5 linked regions of the Coturnix japonica genome follow. The protein of the gene in region 1 interacts with the protein of each later gene in a biochemical or structural test. Links are inferred from orthologs where the notes say so. Each region holds a gene or a part of one and is shown on either strand. Other genes may lie near its edges.

What was found.
Region 2: the proteins of STAT1 (region 1) and CREBBP form a complex in vitro, tested with the Homo sapiens proteins (5 studies listed by BioGRID, with this or other methods). The link is inferred for Coturnix japonica from reciprocal best matches to the Homo sapiens genes STAT1 and CREBBP.
Region 3: of the proteins of STAT1 (region 1) and PRKCD, one has a biochemical effect on the other in vitro, tested with the Homo sapiens proteins (2 studies listed by BioGRID). The link is inferred for Coturnix japonica from reciprocal best matches to the Homo sapiens genes STAT1 and PRKCD.
Region 4: the proteins of STAT1 (region 1) and KPNA1 form a complex in vitro, tested with the Homo sapiens proteins (2 studies listed by BioGRID). The link is inferred for Coturnix japonica from reciprocal best matches to the Homo sapiens genes STAT1 and KPNA1.
Region 5: the proteins of STAT1 (region 1) and MCM5 form a complex in vitro, tested with the Homo sapiens proteins (2 studies listed by BioGRID). The link is inferred for Coturnix japonica from reciprocal best matches to the Homo sapiens genes STAT1 and MCM5.

The regions. Positions count from the first base shown.
Region 1 is NC_029522.1:2,028,794-2,033,046, forward strand, and holds part of STAT1 (signal transducer and activator of transcription 1-alpha/beta), read left to right. Parts: intron 1-320; coding exon 321-419; intron 420-425; exon of another isoform or gene 426-1,644; intron 1,645-1,900; coding exon 1,901-1,996; intron 1,997-2,610; exon of another isoform or gene 2,611-2,695; intron 2,696-2,703; coding exon 2,704-2,782; intron 2,783-3,178; coding exon 3,179-3,270; intron 3,271-3,879; coding exon 3,880-4,031; intron 4,032-4,201; exon of another isoform or gene 4,202-4,253. UniProt on the Homo sapiens protein: Signal transducer and transcription activator that mediates cellular responses to interferons (IFNs), cytokine KITLG/SCF and other cytokines and other growth factors.
Region 2 is NC_029529.1:11,029,389-11,033,641, reverse strand, and holds part of CREBBP (CREB-binding protein), read left to right. Parts: intron 1-275; coding exon 276-455; intron 456-686; coding exon 687-873; intron 874-4,253. UniProt on the Homo sapiens protein: Acetylates histones, giving a specific tag for transcriptional activation. Mediates acetylation of histone H3 at 'Lys-18' and 'Lys-27' (H3K18ac and H3K27ac, respectively).
Region 3 is NC_029527.1:574,146-578,398, forward strand, and holds part of PRKCD (protein kinase C delta type), read left to right. Parts: intron 1-2,767; coding exon 2,768-2,924; intron 2,925-3,431; coding exon 3,432-3,463; intron 3,464-4,110; coding exon 4,111-4,196; intron 4,197-4,253.
Region 4 is NC_029516.1:69,217,709-69,221,961, reverse strand, and holds part of KPNA1 (importin subunit alpha-5), read left to right. Parts: intron 1-2,527; coding exon 2,528-2,661; intron 2,662-4,253. UniProt on the Homo sapiens protein: Functions in nuclear protein import as an adapter protein for nuclear receptor KPNB1. Binds specifically and directly to substrates containing either a simple or bipartite NLS motif.
Region 5 is NC_029516.1:47,598,576-47,602,040, reverse strand, and holds the end of MCM5 (DNA replication licensing factor MCM5), read left to right. Parts: intron 1-662; coding exon 663-775; intron 776-1,068; coding exon 1,069-1,197; intron 1,198-1,455; coding exon 1,456-1,598; intron 1,599-1,742; coding exon 1,743-1,870; intron 1,871-2,299; coding exon 2,300-2,401; 3' UTR 2,402-2,624; downstream 2,625-3,465. UniProt on the Homo sapiens protein: Acts as a component of the MCM2-7 complex (MCM complex) which is the replicative helicase essential for 'once per cell cycle' DNA replication initiation and elongation in eukaryotic cells.

The sequences.
Region 1 (4,253 bases):
TCCAAGGTGTGGAGGTGTGGCTCTCAAAGCTGTCTCCAGCACTACAGTGTAAAACAGCTTACTCTGTGCCTTCTTACAGTAACATCTCCAGCCCTATGTCATTGTTACATGACAAGTCCCATCAACTCTTTGTACCCTAACAAAACAAAGTAATACACCAAGCAGAGAAACTGCTTCCTAGAGCTGGCTACAGTCCATGTAGTCTCAAAGCAAGATACAACTCGGGCTTAACCCGACACATGTTATTCTTGTCAGTTGATTTAATGAAATACAAGAGATTACACGTATTAAGTTTAACAATAGCCCATGTCTAACACCAGGATAACTTCCAAGAAGACCCAATACACATGGCAATGATCATCCACAACTGCCTGAAAGAGGAGAGGAAAATACTGAACAGTGCACAGTTGTCTAATCAGGTAAGTTAGTTTTGAAATGTCCACTGCAGTCGTGTCTGCCCTTTCCTATTACTTGGGATACCAGCGGGTTTGAGTAGCGTGAGCTATTCAGATGGGAAAGGGCCAGAAAGTGATCTTGATTCTTCCTTCCTTTTCCATTTTACTCTTGATTTACTGTTTATTGAGCAGCTGAGCACTAGTGGGTCTCTGGACTGCCTTGGAAAGTGATACTACTCTTCCTTCCCAGCTACACTCAATTTTACGTTTATGTTTTAAACTGAACTGCTGAGCCATAGGCAGAGCGTATTCTTCTCCTCATCATTATTTTGGCAGTGCATCTGTTTGGATTTTCCCTTCCAAGAACTGTGTTGCAATAAAAAATTCCACAGTTAGAAAAGCCATGTAAACTACAGAGCCAGATCCAACCTGCTAATGAAATTAAATGATACCTGACTGAGCCTGTTATGTTCTGAGACAGAAATTCTTCACTTTGCAGCACATTTTTGACAGTGTTATAGAGAGAACTAAGAGCATTAGAGCACAGGCTTTCATCAGTTATCTTAATGCAGCTGCGTCCAAAATAGCTCCCTTAGATATGCAACTCTGGCAAAGCCATTTCCAGATACTTTCCTCATAGCTGCAGTGCAGCTGGCAGTTTCTGTATTGGCTTATGACACAAAGCACCCAAAACTTCCTTTTCAGCATCCCAGATGTTTCTATTAATAATAATTTTAAAAAAGGAAATAAATCTTCTTCCACATATTGTTGGTGCTACATAAAACACCATACCCTACCCTCTGATTTATTGTAAAAGTTCTTATTTCCCAAAGCAAGCAAACTTAAAAGCACCATAAGAACAAAATAGAGACTCCAGTGTTAGTCAATACTCAGACTGCCATCACAGTCCCATTTCAAGTTACGTTGGGAACCTTTGCCACTTTCTAAGTTGCCTGCATTGGCAAAATAATATGTTTCTAATAATGACACAGTACAACAAAAACCCTGTCTTTGAAATCACTGCAACTCTCCCTGAGAGAAGTCATGCTATGAGCTTCTGAAATGAAACCTTGCAGTACTGAGATCTGAAGGTTTCCTTTAACACGCTGTAGGAAATCAACTGCATAATGCATTACCCTATATGGCAGCTTATCTTGTTCTTGTGCTTCACGCTTTCCTCCCCAGAGCCCAAGTGGTTGAATCTAATATTTAAGGGAGATGCGATCCAGCCTTCAGTGCTGCTGTTTTCCTGGAATATATTTAGAAAACACGTGAAGATAAGCAAGTAAACCAAAAAGGAGTTGTTTAGAAGTTATTTTGTCTGCTTATTCCTATGACATTACATGCAACATCTCCGCATGCTTGCTTTTTCTTCACAAAGTCACTTCTAATAACTCAACTAGGCTGTTTGTCAATAAAAGCCAATAACTGACATTAACTAAATAGTATTTGCTGTTAGTTCAGTCTTGTTTGACTTCTGATTTTGTTCCACTTGCCTTCCTCAGATGGAAGTGGGTGGCGTACAGAACACCATGACTGGGATACTGGACAAACAGAAGGAGCTTGATGCAAAAGTTAAGGCTGTAAAAAACAGTGTTACAGTAAGTATAGTATGATTCCAGCTGTATTTGAAGTAGTGCTTATCAGAATCATAAATGTCAAAGTTTTCAGTGTATGATGTATTCCTTAAATGACAAGTATCATTTTTGGTTATCTACTCAATTATCAGTCAGTAATATTTGTCAAAAGCACTGCAGTATGGATTGGGATTTGGCTACTGTGGCAATATCATATTTCTCATGCTTAAATTGTAGCAGTGAAAACATTTTACCTATGTGGATTATTATGCAACCAATGAACAATTCCTTAAAAGCTCATAAATTGACATTTCATCATGAACTAGAAGATCGAGATTTGCTTTTTTTCTCCTGTCATCAAATCATTGCTTATTGCCATAATAAGTACTATCCCAAAAGTATTTTTTTTTTCAGTGCAATACTCAAGAGTTTAAGAGTTAAAGATGCCATATACTGTCCCCCATGGTAGCTTAGGTTCTCCTTATTCTCTCAACTGGTATGGCCAAGCACTGAGAGCTTTCTGTGTTTTATTATGGACAGATTTTTGTTTGCTAAAATGAGAGAAGCAATGTAACTAGATATTGGCTCACTTCAGAAACACTTCCTGCAAGGGATCTCCAAGGAAAGACATTACTCACTGTACGTGCTTGCTGGCAGGCAGATCCTGGTCAGACAGAGTCTTGCATAATGTGAAACTGAGTAATTGTTCTGTCTTCATTCATGCTTTATAGGATGTAGAACAAGACATCAAGACATTAGAGGATGTACAAGATGAATATGACTTTAAACATAAAACCTTCCAGAGCAGAGGTAATGTACTGAGAACGTATCTTACTGCACACAGTTCATAAGATAACAGAGTTTATTCTTATGTCAGGAAACTTAATTATATATGCAAACTTATTGGTCACATCCCTCCTCCATTCATTCTGCTTTATGCTGAAACCTGATTTCCCCAAGATAGATTGGAAAAGGGAGCATTAAGCCCCACGCTTGCTCTTTGTACTTCCTGGCAGGCAGCGTTTCTCCTTAAGGCACATGGGTGCTTCTAACTTAAGGTCAGTGGGCAGCTGAAGTTGTAGCTGGGGGGACTCTGCATGGGAGCTATCAGCCTTGGTTTTCCTCACCCTTCTTTCCTGTACTCACAAGATCGTATCCTGCTGCAATTTCCCAACCTCAGATTCACAATTTAGACTTGTTTTACAGATTCTGAGCCCAATGGTGCATCACAAGAGGAGTGCAGGAAAGAGCAGATGAATATCCAAAAGATGTTTTTCTTACTTGACATCAAGAGAAAGGTAACAACTTAGTTTTCTCTCAGAAGGGAGCAGCTCTTAGTTTCAAATACTTTCATTGGAATGACACGTCATTCCTATTTAAAAACAAAGAACTTTGCTCGCATATGAAGTTACATCTTGTTCTTTCCATCCTTATTGGAGACCTAGAATTGTGCTGAGCAATAATATTGAGCTGCATCAAACTCAACCAGGTACAGCTCAGAAAACAACAAGAGGAAAACATAGTATCAATAGTCACGCTTTTAAGGCAGAAAAAAAAGCTATCTAAGAGTTGGCATCTATATTTTAGTTAAGCAGATTTATTCATTGCAGTGCTGAAATTTCCAGCCAGCATTAGGAAGTCCCAAGTATACGCTTGAGAAGTATGTAGATAGGATATATTTAGTATCACTACTGAGGAGCTAAATGTTCTTTCTCCATTTAACCTAGCTAATGCTCCAGCTAAGAAGAGGTAGGTGGGTTGGAAGAGCTCCTCTATTGATAGAAAGAAGCTATTAATTTGAAGTCATTGGGAAGTGTCGCAAGGCGAAGCATTACTTAAATCAATAATTATGAATTATCAAGTATTTACTCGATACAGAAAAAATAAACAGGTTAATTTTCCTTTAGGAAGTGGTGGCCAAGATTATACAGCTGTTGAACAACACGGAGCACACACAGAGTGCTCTTATTAACGAGGAGCTGGTGGAGTGGAAACATAGGCAACAGACTGCATGCATTGGTGGCCCGCCCAACGCCTGTCTTGACCAGCTACAGAACTGGTAAGCCTCCAGTCAAGGACAGTGTTGGCCAGGCACTCAAAGTGTGACACATCACCAGACCTGTCAGATATGCCACATGTGCTGATTGTATGTTTTCATTCTGTCAAAGCTTAACTAAAGGGCATTGATTTTACTAACACATCTCCAATGCTACCCATATAAATACAGACCTTAGGAACAGTTACGCTGCTACTGTCTCAGCATCGTTACACTGAAAACGTG
Region 2 (4,253 bases), on another chromosome or scaffold:
AGTGAGGAGGAATGTACCATGTTTTACTGGGCAGGTGTTTTCTCTGTAAAAGAAGCCTCTTTGTTTGGAGCAGAGATCTTCCTTTGCTTTCACTCTGTAAAACAGAGTTACTGAATGTGTTCTATAGAAACTTGCCTACAGTGAGCTCCTATATCCATGTTCTGCACTGTTTTAGAATATCATCTCATGTCTCTTTTTTTGTGCTGTTCATTTTTTAGTAAAGGAAAATATTTCTATATATGCAGTGTCTTTCTTTTGTACTGTTTTTACAACAGCTATCCCAGGCAGCAGCTAGTATTGATAACAGGGTCCCCACCCCTGCCTCAGTTGCTAGTGCTGATACGAATTCCCAGCAACTAGGACCAGATGCACCAATGCTAGAAAGCAAATCAGAAGTTAAAACTGAAGAAACTGAGCCAGAGACTAGTGAGACACAAGTGGAAGCTAAGACTGAGGTAAATGAGATTCTATACAGCTTAACTGAAAGCAGTGATAGATATAAAAGCACTTAATGATATGTCTGAATTGATGAGCTAAGGGGTGAGAAGAGGGTAGTTACTGGCAAGTAACTGTCCTGAGGAAAGCCATGGATGGAGAGTGCTTTGACAATCTCATAAGCTAATATTTAAAGGACTGAAGCCTGGGTCAGAGGTGTAACAGTGCATCTTATTGCCTCCTTTCTTAAGGTGGAGGAGGATTTACAAGGATCTTCACAAACAAAAGAGGAAACAGAAGGAACTGAGCTGAAACAAGAGCCAATGGAAATAGAAGAAAAGAAGCCTGAAATAAAAGTAGATGCTAAGGAGGAAGAGGAAAGTGGCACAAATGGAACCACTTCACAATCCACATCACCATCTCAGCCCCGCAAAAAAAGTATGTGTCTGAAAACTGATTTCTTGCATACTTTGTTAAAGAGCTCTTCTGTTTTCTACGGTCTGTGTTGTGCTGGGAGGGGCTCGTTTGTTTTTGAAAGTAGAATTCCTTTAATGTTACTTGAATCAGAGGTGGGAGCAGCGTGTTGTGTTCTTGATGCCAGCAGTATCCTCGCAGTTTCCAGTTTCTGCCCAGAAGGACTCAGGTGGTAAGGAAGTGGCTGCTGCTCAGGTGATGTGCATGAATCCCTCCCCGTACATCTTGGCCAACGCTCTTTCACAGGAGCTCTTTTCTTTGAAAGAAAGCTACATAGGATTACATTAGAATAACATCACAGATGCATGGATGTGCCCAAGAAATCATAAAGTTTTAGTTTGTAGAGATTGAATCTTGATCTCTTGTATATACCTTGCATTGCATTTAATTATTAGACATAGTCTTCTTAGAATAAAGCAGTGGATGTGAATTTCAGTTTGTAACACAATGTGCCAACCAAACCAGAGTGCGCTGCAGAGCCTGTTTCAAACTAACAGTTACAAACAGGTTGAATTCCCAGTGTTAAGAATCATTGCTTCTCCTTAAGTGTTCTTGCAGGTCAGTAGCTGGGAGAAGATGGTTCTTACAGAGGCAGAGCTGCACTGTGTCATTCTGGTGATTCAGTCTGGGTTACTTGTGTTTCCAACACCTCCTTTAGTAACACTGTTCTTGTCATAGAAATGCTGTCACTAAGTAGCCATACAGTGTAATATATGTGTGGCTCAGGCAGGTATAACTACATACGCAATTTTAAACTGAGCCATTTCCTCACCAAGTAGTTTATCCAGCTTTAACGGAGCATTTGCATTTAAACACAAAATAAACCAAGAAGTATTCAAGAGCAAATACAGTGAAGTGTGCTTAAGGGTTTTATGGTATCTTAAAACTGCTTACGAGACTCATCTCATGTTTTTTCATTCATTACATTGGTTTCATTTTCCATTGGTATTTGAGACTCCTGATGGCATGGGAGTTGTATTGAACACCATAGATTGAAGGGAAGGCTTTTGTTTGCTTGCCTCTTCCCTTGCAGTCTTCTCAATAGAAGTAATATTCCCATCACCTCTTCTCGTTGTAGCTGCCTGCCTTATAGTGTGATGGCCTGCAGGATGAGTTTTATTGGTCTCTTCCTTTGTTATAGGTCGTAATAATGAAAGGTCTGGGTTGAGGGAAGGTTCCTCAGTGTATTCCTTATTTTCAAGACATCTTCATCTTCCTTTCAGGATTTTCTCCTTAGTAACCATAAGCAAAATTTCCTGTTTGAAGAAGTGAAACTTCTTTTAGGAGTTAAAAAAGGGGGTGCCTTACTGTTCTTTGTCAGGGAGCACATTGTGATGCAGGCAGAGATCCCTCTTTGTTCTTACCACCTACACAGCTAAGACGAAATAGGGATAGTTGGATGTGCTCCTTACAGAGATGTGCTGCAGGAGGAGAACCAGGAGCATATAAGTGAGGAAGAGTGACAGTGACTTCCCTATTTACCTGCAGACAGAGGGATGCTGTGATCGAATGCTCTGTTTTTAATCACCTTCCTTAGGAGTTAAAGATGAAGGCAACTTTTCTTCATATTTTTAAGTGAAGTCATAACTCTGAATAACTGGATTTTAAATACACATATGTTGTAAACCAATATGAAAGTAGATGATAAATGTTTTCAGGAATGATGCTTAGTCTGTGAGTTACTTAACAGAAGTTCTGCTGAAGCTCTGTTGTTCCGATTTAAATTGGGATCAGATCTGTTTAGAAAGGTTCTTTAGCTGTTGTTATGTGGGTCAGTGCAGGGAGACTTCTTAGAGCAGTGTCAAGGTGTCCAGAATGGGTCATTAAAAGGTACGTTCTGACATTCAAATAAATGAAGTCATTTGAATTATCAGGTTTATAAAGTACGTGGATAAAACAGTTGCAGAAATAATACATAGTATTTACGCTGTGTTTCCCACTGTTCTTGAATTCTGTAATACAACTTTATTTATACAGTTTTGAGAGTATATATAAGGATTCTTTGCATGGGAAAGTGTAGTGGAAGCAAATTACTGTGTTGTCAGCAGTGAGGTGGTGGATCAGCTGAAGTCATGGCTGTGTTGCTTGGTGCCATAAGAACAGAGTTAGTGGGGGCTCAATGCAGGCCCACAGCAGGGCCTTGCTGCAGCCTTGTGTCAGCTTGCGTAGCCCTTTGCCATGATTTAGCTGGCTGAGCTGTGTTAGTTTGCCACTTGTGCACGAGCAGCAATCCTCTCCCAGGTACAGGCAATGCATTCAAACTATATTCCAGCTTCCATTTGCTCTGCAGGGACTGTTTTCATCCTGACTTACAACTTGCAGGAGCTTCAGCATCCACAGATGCCTGAAAACATAGGGAGCGTAAAGCTTCAGAATGTCTTGAGTTGAGTCAGCTTAACTTCTAATGCCTTTTTCCCATGTTTTGAGAGGAAAAAAAATCCTCTCAAAAATAAACCACTAATAAAAAAGGAGGGGAAAAAGTTTAAAAAATAAAAATTACAAAAATATATATTTTTTTTGTTTTCTTACCAGAATTTTCCCTCCCCCTCAAGCCAGTCTGTATCTTAATAAAGCACAGTCTGAACAACAAAAGCAATGATCAGCCTCAGAGGGGTCACTGTAGCCCTATTGATTTAAGTGCTTTCAAGAGAACTCCTAATTGCTCCCTTTTATTGGTATTGTTCTCATTTCAGCCAGGTAGATAAATATTAAATGCCATCCTGCTCTTCTTAGTTGTCGTCTTTTTTTCCTGAATAATAGGCATTCTTCCCTATTTAAAGCCCCTGTTCCTAAGGAAATAAATGTAATTACACTGCTGAGATGTTCAAAGAGCTCTCCAAGTTATCATTATTTTTCAGAAAATGCATTGCCTTTCTTGTCCTTGTCATCCACTATTGAAAGAAACATGGCTGTTGCCATGCCACTGTTGCCAAGTGGTTGTAATGATGCATGTAAATCTTGGAAGTATTAACACTTTGAAAATCAATTAACAGTCCATTGGACCGGGACTCTTTGCATGGCACGGCCAGGAGATCCCTGTGCCAGCTCTCAGGACATCTGGTTACCTTCTGGAGAGCTGGCTCTGCGGGATTCCTTTGCTGGATGAATCTTGACACAGGAGCAGCCAACAGTGTCAAAAGAGAAGGAGAAAATATGCTGTTGGTCTCCTCTCTGGATGGTGGAGCTTCACTGTGTTGAAGCATTGGGTGGTTAATTTGCTTCTGGATAAGTCTTGCATCCTCTGGAAGATGTGTCATTAAATTGTTCTCATCCCCCTGTACTTAGAATCTAATCTAGTGTGATTCAGTTAAATGCAAAAGCTGCTCAGTCATCTCTTGGTGATA
Region 3 (4,253 bases), on another chromosome or scaffold:
TACTGCTGCATTTAGGCACCCTGGGGCCTTTAATCTGACTGTCCTCATGTTTTGACTGAATAGGAAAGTACTGAGTTCCTGTTTTAAGCATGAAGAAGTTAAAAATGTCTTGCTCTAATTTGTGTGGTAAACATGTTCTTTGTGGATTGGGGAAGTAGGTCACATTTTCCTGGGATTTCAGCTGTAATGCTCGTTAGTCATGGAAATCAATTGCAGCAATGAGTGAATGGTTAAATGCCAAATGCAAATCGTATTAATGTTCTGCTGTATCAGTTGAAGAAGTTAACAGGCGGTATGGGTTAGAAATCTGCACACAGTGGGGGAGAGGAGAGGAGAGGAGAGGAGAGGAGAGGAGAGGAGAGAGCTGGTTATGAGAGGGGGAAGCTTTAGGTACGCCAACAGAAACAAATATTCTAGCAGGGGTTTGTGTAACTTTCCTGAAGGAAATGATGTAAACCTCACATCTTGCTTAACTGTCTAGTACTAGAAGTCACAAAACCTTTGTTTATTGGGAATCACTGATCTGTCATTTTAGCCAATCCGTCTTAGTTGGTGTAATGCTGTGTTAATAAATAATCAGTGGAAAGGGAGTAAGCAGGAAGTTTGAAAGCATTGCTGTGGGTTTGATGGGGATTTTGGTTTGGGGTTGGGTGTTTTTGTTTGTTTTTGTGTATGGCTGTTTTGTTTTGTTTTTTTTCCAAGTAGATACAGGTTTCTTAGTTCTACTCTCATGGAACAAGTTGATTCTGAAGGTCTTTCGTACCATATGTGCAATCTGCTTGGCAGCTTCTGGAAGGGCTGCTAAAGATAGATGGTGATATGCAGGAGGTGGCACTGCAGCATCTCAGAGTTGGTGTTTTAGCTCTGCAGTGGCAAAAAGAACACAACCCAGAAGCTGCCTGCTGTCTTGTTACTTTGTTCTCCTTTGTGAAGTGTTTATTCTTTAAAGAAATATTTAAAACAATAGATGTGTTGGTGGATCTGAAGAACCATATGCAGGTTGGAATCTGTTTATGCACCAGCGATATTCTGTTTGACATTCAAACTGTTGTGGACCATCATGTTAGGAAACTTTTGTCTTGGACTTCATCATTTCTTTCCCATCCAAGGCAGTTTCGTGGGGTACCGATGATGAGGCTCCATCTGTTCAGCAAGGCGTACGGAAATCTGTTTGTCCAGAGAGCTTAAATGTCTCTCAGCCAAAGAAAAAACCTGCTTGTGCAGGTTTGGAAAATGCAAAAGATGGTTTGAAAGGAAAGAGAAATACCTGGCGATGTTAATATTCAGCCTGTAAGTTAATCACAACGATCGCAAACCCCAGAGTAGTTCAGCATAGCAAGTTTGTGTCACAGAAGCACGGACTTCCTGGAAGCGTGTACTTCTGTGGATGTTTTTGTACAGAGGTGTAAAGCAGACCCCTCTGAGACCTGAATAGAGACAGTTTGTACCAGGAAGGTCTCCTCTGCAAGAAGCGAGATTTCTTTTTGTAATGATTACCCCGTGAGATTAATGTTTTTCTTGGCCTGAAGGGCACACTTAACTTTCAAACAGGGCCAAGTGCAAGGCAGCAGAACTGCACAAAGACCTTCTCCCTTCAGATTACAAACAAAATCATGGAACGAACAGAAAAATGAACTCTGAGGATGATAAATGTTTTTCTATTCCTTCTCTTCTAAACCCAAGTAGGGTTTTTCTGAAGGCTGTTTTCTTTTGTAACTTAGGAGGTTGAACTGAGACAACCTGACATCTCGCCTTGAGGTTCATTACGCTTCAGCAGAGTCCCAGCGGTGCTGTGTAGGAGCTCAGCAGATGCTCCTCAGGCTGTGGTTTGCCCGCTGTGTTGCTGGCTGCAGTCAGGCCTGGTGCTGCAGTTGGGTGCAGTGCACACTGCTATGGCTGCTGCACCTCTGCAGGAGTGTGACATTTGCTCTCAGTTGTGCTTAAGGAGCACATGGCACAGGGGAGCATGGGGCTTTTTGTCACATCAACTGCAAGTTTTGAGGAGGATCCTTGGAATAGAAAAGCAGTGTGCCACCGATAAATATTAACCATTGCTCTCAACAGAGGAAGTAGATGATAGTTAATGGTGTGTGCTGGGTTCAGAATGATTATGATGGGATCAGGCTGCTGCTGCAGCAGAGGTCACCTGGATTCTAGTTGCTGATTCAGCTCCGTGGCTCTGGTTTTACCAGCACAGCACAAGCGTGTCACCTCGGGGAGTGCTGGCTTGGAGAGTGTCTTCCTCTTTCACTACCTCCATGCTGCTGTTGGAAAATATCCTTCCTTGCAGTGCTGTGTTGGCAATGGGAAAAGTACTTTATGGCTTTTGTATTGTTGCATGGTTGTGGAACATCCCACCTGGCACAAGGCAGCCTCATTAGCCTAAACTTTGCAGCACTTCCTCCCTGTAAGCCATGGCTGTGTTATTCCACAATGAGACCCTCAATCTGCGGACCAGAACCGATGTGGTTAGCAATGCACTTGTGCCTGTGGTTGGTTGAAGCTTCTGTCTTTCCCTGCTGGGTGACAACTGTCTCTGATCGGCTCCTTTCTGTCCAGAAGAGATGTGTCCTACTAATTAGGAACCAATTTATTTATGTGCTTTGCCCTTGTTGGACTGAATGCCTGCAAGGATGACGGGGGTGTAAATTTGAAATACAAGCTGGAAACAGAAGAGGAAACAATATTTTGGAGAAACAAATATTAGACTTGGGTAATGACTTAGAGTTAAAAGTATGTCTTCTTGTCTGCCTCCTTCTCCCCTTAGATTGCAGACAGTCCATGAGGGAAGAAGAGGGAACAGTAACTATCAACAGGAGAGGAGCAATCAAGCAAGCAAAAATCCACTACATCAAAAATCATGAATTTATTGCTACCTTTTTTGGACAGCCCACGTTTTGTTCTGTCTGCAAAGACTTTGTGTGGTAAGGAGAAAGTGCTAAACTTCTTTCACCCCCAAGAGGGTAAATAACTATTAAATTGCCCTCATGTATATTGAAATAAAGCATAGACATAAATTCATCAGTAATGCAAGCTGGAAAGCATATACTGTCTCAGTCTTTGAGATGCGAATTAGCCAATAGCAGAATAAAGACCCATCAGGATCGAGAAGCTGGATCAGATTGGTGGGAAAGTCATTCTATTAGTAAACCAAATCAGGAGGAATTTCCGTGTGATGGAAGCTTTGGTTTTTTCCTGCATTCTCCTGCTAATGTGACGGTCTTTCAGAACTCACTGCCTTTCTTTCTAAGCCTTGCCTTCCTAAGGCAGAGGGTTCTGAATACCAGAACTTCAATTGGTTTGTTAATGGGGACAAATATTCCAATGAATGAGGAAATTGGATGACATGGTGAAAAGAGGAAAAAACCCCAAAGTTGTATTCTAGCAAGCACGTGCTTATATGATTTCCTTCTCTATCATTTGTTTTTCAGGGGACTGAACAAACAAGGATACAAATGTAGGCGTAAGTTGAGTTTTGTCTTTTTATTGTATCACCTCCATTATTTTATAGTCCAATTGATTTTATAGATCCAGTAGTTACTATGGAAAAAAGAAGTCCTGTCAATTTGCCCACACATCTGCTAATGTTAAACACAAACCTTGTGTGGTGATCTCAGAGCTGTGGAGTTGTGATTCCTACATGAAATTTTAGTACCAGGTTTTAACTCTTCTGATGTGTGTGTCGTGCACTGGAGGAGCTGCACTTGTACATGACAGCTGCTTTTGTGGAACCTTTTCTAAAATGAATTACAGTGACTGATGGATTTTAAAGCAGAATTCAGAAGTACTTCAGAACTTAGTGCAGATCTCTGTGCATTATTCAAAGCAGCAGAGCAGGTACCAAAGAGGATCAGAAGCCTGATACTGTCCTCGTGTTCTCAAATTCTGGTGGCATTGTCTAATGGAGACAGATTTTGTTTAGGAATAGAGGCTGTGATAAAAGAGAATGGAAGGGAAATTACTTTAAAAGGAGCATCATGATAGAAATGGTTTTAGTACATGGCACGATGGTTTGTTTTCATGTTGTGCTATGAAATGCAAACACCTCATTGTATGTATTTATTATCTGAAGAAATCCTTTCTTTGTTCCCCTTTGTACATGTTATGAAGAATGCAATGCTGCTATTCATAAGAAATGTATTGATAAAATCATTGGGAGGTGTACCGGTACCGCAGCCAACAGCAGAGACACAATGGTAAGAGCTGGAACTGTATCCTTAGAGTGTAACTAAATAGTCCTGAGCTAACAAAAC
Region 4 (4,253 bases), on another chromosome or scaffold:
CCAAAGAAAAAAAGTGTCTAAACGTATTTGCTATCAGTACATTTCATAATCTTAGTTTCAGTTATCTTTTTGGGTTATATATACCTTTCTGCTGGTCTTGATTAGCAAGGCCTTTATTTTTATATTGGGATACTTGTGACATGTTAGAATGGCCAAGTGTTTGTCACGTAGCATTTCTCCTAGCAAAGTTCTTAAGGCTAGTGACAGCATATCTGATGTAGGAAGACAGAGGGCTCATTTGTGTCCCTACTTCAGATGATTGATATCTGATGTAAGAAGGCAGGAAGTTCATTTTTGTTCCTATGTAGATGATTGCAAGGGATGAGGTAGGTCATTGCAGTAAGTGACTCTGCATTTCCCAGTACAAACTAAAGTTCTCTGACTTGATCAGCAAGCAGAAATGCAGTACCTTTCTCCTGAAAACCAATTCTTCAGTCACCTCTGCTTTTGGTAGGGCCTTTGTACTGATCAGCAAAAAGAAATAAAAATGGGTAACGCTTCCTTAGTGAATGAAGACACTCAAAAATAGGTCTTTTTTGTTTTGTTAAAAATAGGTTTGTAAGTAAAAAGTAAAGTAAAAGGTGTCATATAGTGATTGAGTGGTACAGCACAAAAGATCAAAGAGTTCATCATGAAAACTCATCGGGTCACCAATGATTTGAAGCTGTAGACAGGAGTGTCCAGAAACGTGGAAAATACGCTTCTATTGCTAGGACAGAAAAGATCTGTAGAACATTTCCATGACAACCACCACCGACTTTCATCGCAGACAGCATTAATTTTGAGGAGAAGATCCAGGATTTACTGTTTGCTATGAAGTAATTTACAGTGAGTGAATGTGAAGTGGTTGTTGAAAGATATTCAGTTAAGCTGCAGAAAAACCGCTGAAGACGAATGAGAAAGGTTTGAATTTGTTTTGACTCGTTGATTTTTGTCTATAGAGTAAAACCTGAAAAGCTGAAGATTTATAGAAAACTATTCTTGGGTGTTTGTAGCGACTGACATACGATTCTTTTATTTTCTGACTTAAAAAGAAATAGTGAGCAGGTGTAAGGATGCTGTCAGGAGCTGGGGGTTAGATGGTGTGGTCATAGAAACAATAAAGGAATGACACCGTTTTACCTTTAGGGCATAGGATCATAGAATCACCAAGGTTGGAAAAGACCTACGAGATCATCCAGTCCAACCGTTCACCTATTACCAATAGCTCCCACTAAACCATGGCCCTCAACACAACATGCAGTCTTTCCTTGAACACCCCCAGGTTCGGTGACTCCACCACCTCCCTTGACAGTCCATTCCCGTGGACTGAATACATCCAGAGGTAATTGCAGAAGCTGCATTTGGGTAGTGTCTTTGGATTGGTTAAGTTAGGCAAGCAGATATGTGGCAATGTGTGGGGGTTTTATTTGCCACTGGTGAGAGACTACCCTGAATTCAGTGATTGAATTGAGCGATTTCTCAACACTGAAAGAAACTAAATGTTTCTGATCTTACTAGAAGAAACTTTGTATTCCTCGTTACTTGGTGGAAATTTGTAGGAAAGCTTTACTCAACATAAAATGCAATGCGCTATTTAGAAATGATTTTATGTGCACTTAATAGTCAGCAAAGGGAGCTGGCATGAAGGTAAGAAATAAGCATAGCCAAAAGCTTTAGCTAAAGCTTGGAAGGGTTGTAGTAAATAGAAGGTAACACTGAAGTTCTAGGCACTGATGACAAAAATGACAAGGAAAAAGAATATGCTAGGGAAACTTGACAGTGAAGATGGATTCTCACTGGTACTTAAAAACACTGGAGCATCATAAAGAGGGACTACAAAATAGAAATAAGATGGAATCCAGTAGTGAGAATTGAAGATGATAAATGTCAAGGATTTCTACAAAGCGAGAACTTCTAAGGACTGAAAGTGAAGGTGTGAAATGATTGCAGGAGCTGTCCAAGTCCTGACAAAGGCAAATTTAATTTGGTGAGTTTGAGAAGATGTTTCAGATAGAAATGCAGAATGATGTATAATGTCATGGGAGGTGTGAGGTTTTATCTGAGTTATTGTTTGTGTGCCTATGCTTGTTTGTGTTGTAGGGCAGGTTGACTGATGTGGCTGCAAAACCTTTTTCCAGTTAGATGTGTCCTTCTAGCTCATCATTTTCCATGTGGTGTTTGAATTTATTTACTTGATTCTAAGGTATATCAGCAATTTGATGTGAAAACAAAAGATTTTCTGTACTCCATTGTGTTCCATACATGTGTAACTCCATTTTTTGGTGGCCCTGCCAGGCAGGGGGGTTGGAACTTCATGGTCCTTGAGGTCCCTTCCAACCCAGGTCATTCTACGATTCTATGAAATGCTGCGACTGTTCTCAACATTTCAGGGGCTTAATGGGGAGACGTAAGAGAAGTAGCAGCAAAGCGGAGGACTGTGGGTGGGGACCTGACCTGCGGCTCATTTGGTTTATGGCTACACTTACTTATGCGTTGCTGAAGTGTAATTGTTCTGATTGATTCTCTTCTTAACTGCAACTTAAAGGAACGATGACGACCTCAGGAAAAGAAAACTTCCGACTGAAGAGCTACAAGAACAAATCTCTAAATCCTGATGAAATGCGTCGAAGGCGAGAGGAAGAGGGTCTTCAGCTGCGTAAGCAAAAGAGAGAGGAGCAGGTATTGTCCTACAGCTGTCATAAATGTAACAGTTAGCTTGCATTGTCTTTGGTTCTTTGCTTCTCTGAAGCCTATTCTTGGCTTTTGTCTTGCTAAATTCCCATATATAATCAGTCTGACATTATTAAGTTGCAGACTTTACTGCCTTTTCTTTGGGTAGTACAAGACTTAGTGAGTGCTCATCATTCATTCAAGTGTGAGATTGACAGCTTGTCAGTAAAGGTGGTTGCAACAGAGCTGTCTCTCCTTGCACTGAAGGTTACTAAGGAATTCTTTGTTTGCTTTTTGCTAGCTGAGTTGTGGTTGCTCTTGTCTTTAAAGAATGATGAAGTGGGGTGAAGAAAGCATTACAGTACAGGAGAAGCGTGTCCAACCAAATCCTTTTGAGTTGCAGTAATGATTTTTCTGGGGGAAGAGTAGATTGATCTAATTCTTCTCAGTGTTCTGTCTTTAAATTTCAGTTAACATATGAATCTACAAAAGTTTATGCCCTAGCAGAGCAGGTGAGGGTGGATTATTGTATACTGAGTACAGAATATTCAAGGAGAATGAAAGGGGAGCAAAGCTCCCCTAGCTGTTCATTTCTGGCTAGTACTTACTACTATGCTCTCATTGCAAAGTGGTAGATTCTCTACAGGTGTAACAAGGAAACAGCAGCGGAGATGAGACATGGTGAAAGCAATCTTCTGATAAGGATGCGTAGCATTGAGCAGTCCTTTTAGTTATGTTCATTAGAAGCTTTAAGAGACTGGCTTCAATAAAGTTAGAATAAAGCTTAGTTTCATCCACGTCAAGTTAAATCAAAGATAGTAACATGCATTAGCTTGGTATGGTAGGTTAAGTCTTTAATCTGTTCTATTTAACAGCCTTTTCACAGTGTCAACACTAGATACTTTCAAGGAAAGTTTGTAATCAATGAAGAATTCTGAGAGGAATTGAAATAGCTTTTTATTTTCTTCAGAAGCAGCAGGCAGTATTTCCAGATGGCAGATAGTACAAAACATCATCTGTCTTATCTGTAAAGCTGATACTAATTTAGGAAAATGATGAGTCATTTTAGAAACCTGTCTTATCGGTGCCTCTGACCTCCCTTGCACCTGATTACCACGGGTTGGCTAAATAAAGGGTAGTAGTATTTCCTTAAGGCAAACTGTTATTCCTGCCTACAGTGTAATGGAAGTAGAGCTGCAAGCAGTCTTTTCTTTTGATCCTTTACTGTTACAACAATTTCAGACCTTATGTGCAGGTACTTTTATGTATTTGGCACACTGGTCATGAGGATGTTATTGAGATGCTTGACTAGCATTGAGAATGCCAGAGTTAGCATTGCATCTCCTGGTTAGAGCTGTTTGACATGTGTGAAGAAGCCTATTTTACTCTTTGACTTCCCGATTTCTATTTGTATTCATTTTTAAAATAAAATATATTCTTATTCCTCGTTTTATTGTCTTAGTGTTGCATTTTCAGCCTCTACAAAGAAGACTCATTTAACCTTTTTCTAAAGTTCACTTGTTTTTTTTTTTTAAAAAAAGCCAAATCACCCTACAAAAACACTGTCAAGTTTTTGAATTTTTACATAAATTATCAGTGTA
Region 5 (3,465 bases), on another chromosome or scaffold:
TCAGGGTGGTGGGCTCAGCTGGGGCTTGAGGCATGGGAGCTTACACAGCCATAGCATGTGGCTGAGAGCCTGGGGAAGAAGCTGTGGGCAGACCTGATAGCAGCCTTAAATTCTATGAAGGGGGACTGTAAGAAGGAAAGGGACAGACTTTAGAAGGATCTGTTGTGATTGGACAAGTGGAAATGGTTTCAAACTAAAAGAGGGGTGACTTATGTTGGGTACAAGGAGGAAGGTTTTTTTTACAGTCAGGGTGGTGAGGCACTGGAACAGACTGCCTAGAAAGGTGGTGGATACCCTATCCCTGGAGACACTTAAGATCTGGCTGGTGGGGCTCTTGAGCACCGTGCTCTAGCTGTAGGTGTCCCTGTTCATTGCAGGGGAGCTGGACTAGGTATAGCCTGTAAGGGTTCCTTCCAGCTCAAGCAATTTTATGATTCTTAGGCTTCTGCCATGACACATTGAAGCAAGGCAAGCTTCTTGTGGTCCCATAGTTCTGCTTGTCACAACAGAGCCAGGCATAAGCACTGGGAGTAGAGTTGGGGGATGCCTTCTTCAGTATCAACGGAACTGCATCACTGAACTGCCAAGCTGCTGCCCTGTTTTGGGGGAGGGTTGGATGACAGGGAGGTTTCATGCGGTCTGACTGCTTCCTGCTCTCCTAGACGCTGGCCAAGCATGTGATGTCCCTGCATGTGAGTGCCCTGACGCAGACACAGGCTGTGGAAGGTGAAATTGAGTTGAACAAGCTGAAGAAGCTCATCTCTTTCTGCCGGACGTGAGTGAGAGGGGTGATTTTAGGCTGTGCCCACATCACAAGGTGCTGCTGGGGTTGCACTGTGCAGTGAGGCAGATGTGTGGGCTGGGTCTGGTCCATCTGCACCTGGCACTGGGAGTATGGAGTGGGTTGTGAGGCAGCTCAAGCACCTTTGAGTGAAAGGAACGAATTCTTGGGCTGATAGGGGTTAGGTTTGGAAGGGCTCTCCCCTGGAAGGGATGCAAGTGAGAACAGCTTGGAGCACACAGGGGACATCCTGCCCAGGGTGCCACCTCTCCTGTCCCCTCACACAGGAAGTGTGGCCCTCGGCTGTCTGTAGCAGCAGCAGAGAAGCTGAAGAACCGCTACATCCTGATGCGGAGCGGCAGTCGGCAGCATGAGCAGGAGAGTGACCGCCGCTCCAGCATCCCAATCACTGTCAGGTGAGAGCCATGGGGCCTGGTCCTATGTGGGGAGGGAGAGTGTTGCTGTCCTCCCGTACCCACCAAAACCCTCAGGGTTGGGATTATGTCATTGTGTTGCCTGGGATAGCCTGGAGGATTGGGGTGCTGTTGTTTGGGAGAGCCCACTGTGAGTGGGGCGACACTGGCGATGCTGTGAGTGGGAGTGTTGGGGGAAGGAGAAAACCCCTTGGGGCTACAGTAGGAAGTGGGGAATTGGAGCATCTTCATTACCCACAGACAACTGGAGGCCATTGTACGCATTGCCGAGTCCCTCAGCAAGATGAAGCTGCAACCCTTTGCCACTGAGGCTGATGTTGAGGAGGCCTTGAGGCTCTTCCAGGTGTCCACGCTTGATGCAGCCATGTCGGGCAGCTTGTCAGGTGAGGATGGATGATGCTGCATTGGCTTACAGCTTCCCTCAAGATCTCTGAGATGTGTGTGTGTGTGTGTGGTGGGAGACGTGGGAAATGGGCTTTTTGGCTTTCAGAGTGACATCTGGTTGCAACCTCTCTCCCCCCCCCCAGGGGCAGAAGGCTTCACGACGCAGGAGGACCAAGAGATGCTGTCCCGTATTGAGAAGCAACTCAAGCGCCGCTTTGCCATTGGCTCACAGGTGTCAGAGCACAGCATCGTGCAGGACTTCATACGGCAGGTAGGCAAGGGCTGTGCCCTGGAACCAGGCAACTCCCACTGCTGCTGTGGGAATTCATTCCCTGGGAGGCAGCTGCAGAGCCCCTTGGTCATATTTGCTTTTGAAGCTGTTCATAGGGAGCAGCATATGTTGTGTTTGTGGAGTTGGAGGAGAGTGAGGTTTTTCTTCTCTGTCAGAGTGCTGGGGTCCAGGTTTGGGGCTGTTCATGTATCTTGTAATACCTGGTAATAGACTGAAGTCCAGCATTGAATCCAGAACGTTTTGACTCAGGAAACTGGCTGCACTCAGTCCTGAAATGTTGAAATAGGAAGGCAGCAGCTCCTGCTGTCCTGCAGAGAGTCACAGCCTTTAGCAGTGGCTGCAGTTCTTGCTGGGCTGTGTTGAGCTTTTCCTCGCCAGCTCATCTCACCCTGCTATCTCCCTCTCCAGAAATACCCTGAACACGCCATCTACAAGGTGCTGCAGCTGATGATGCGCCGTGGGGAGATCCAGCACCGCATGCAACGCAAAGTTCTCTACCGCATCAAGTAACCTCATGTCCCCTCCCTGGGAGAGGACAGCTGCTCATCTATCTGCCTGATGAGAGCCCAATGGGGCCACATCTGAAAGCTTTTCCTTGGGGAGCCAAACCAACCAGGGCCTCTGAAGCCAAGGTCTGAGGCAGCCAGGCTTCCCCTTGGGTGTTCTGTTGCAGTTTTTTTCTTGAAACTCCAAAAGCTTTTAGTCAGTTTCAAAATAAAAGCTGGTATTGGTACCTCAGGGTCCTTGACTGTCTGGAGGGGAGAGAGGGGTTGTATCTCCATCTCTCTTTTGGAAGCAGTGTGGGATTGGGATTGGATGCTTTATAACCTTCCTGCTTAGGAGCTGGAGTTGATTCACCCTTCTTTTGCATCTCAAAGGACTCTAGGAGGCAAAAACACATCACCCTGCAATGGAAAAGGCTGTGCAAAAACTTCAGTGAAGCATGGCAGAGCCCTGGGCCCCTGCTGGCATTAGCTGAGAAAAGCATTGGTGTACAAGAGAGGAACAGCTGCCACCTCATGTGTGTGTTAGCAGGAGGGACATCCTGCTTAGCAAAAGCTTCACCTGCGCTCTGTGTGTTTTCTGGTAGGGGCGATGGGATGCAGTTGTGCTGTGTGTGGCAGCTGTCTTGCATTGCTGGATTTCCTTTGCAACCTTGCACTGTCCAACTGTTTTTTTTTTTTTATTATTTTGTGCTTTCCCAGCTGTCACAGCTCTGGGCATGCAAAAGTGCTGTGCATGCGGTAGAAGCTGCTGCATGTCTCAGAGCGACCTTCAGGTTGCAAAAAAAACCACACCTCAGAGCAGACTGCACAAGCTTTGTTAGTGGAATAGATGCTCAGGGCCAGCAGAGGGAACTCAAGCCTTGAGGATGCTGGGCTGTGCCCTACTGGGGCTCTACAGCATCTTTGTGTGCTTCTGTGTGGGTGCACTTGGGACAGGGCCAGAGCTGGCTGAAGAGTCAGGTGTACCTTCCCAGGCAATGGTGGCCTTCATGAGGCTGGCTCTGCATTGGACAAACAGTCTTCTGCCCTCCAGCCTCTGTTTTATTGCTTTTTCTGGATAAGTCTCGC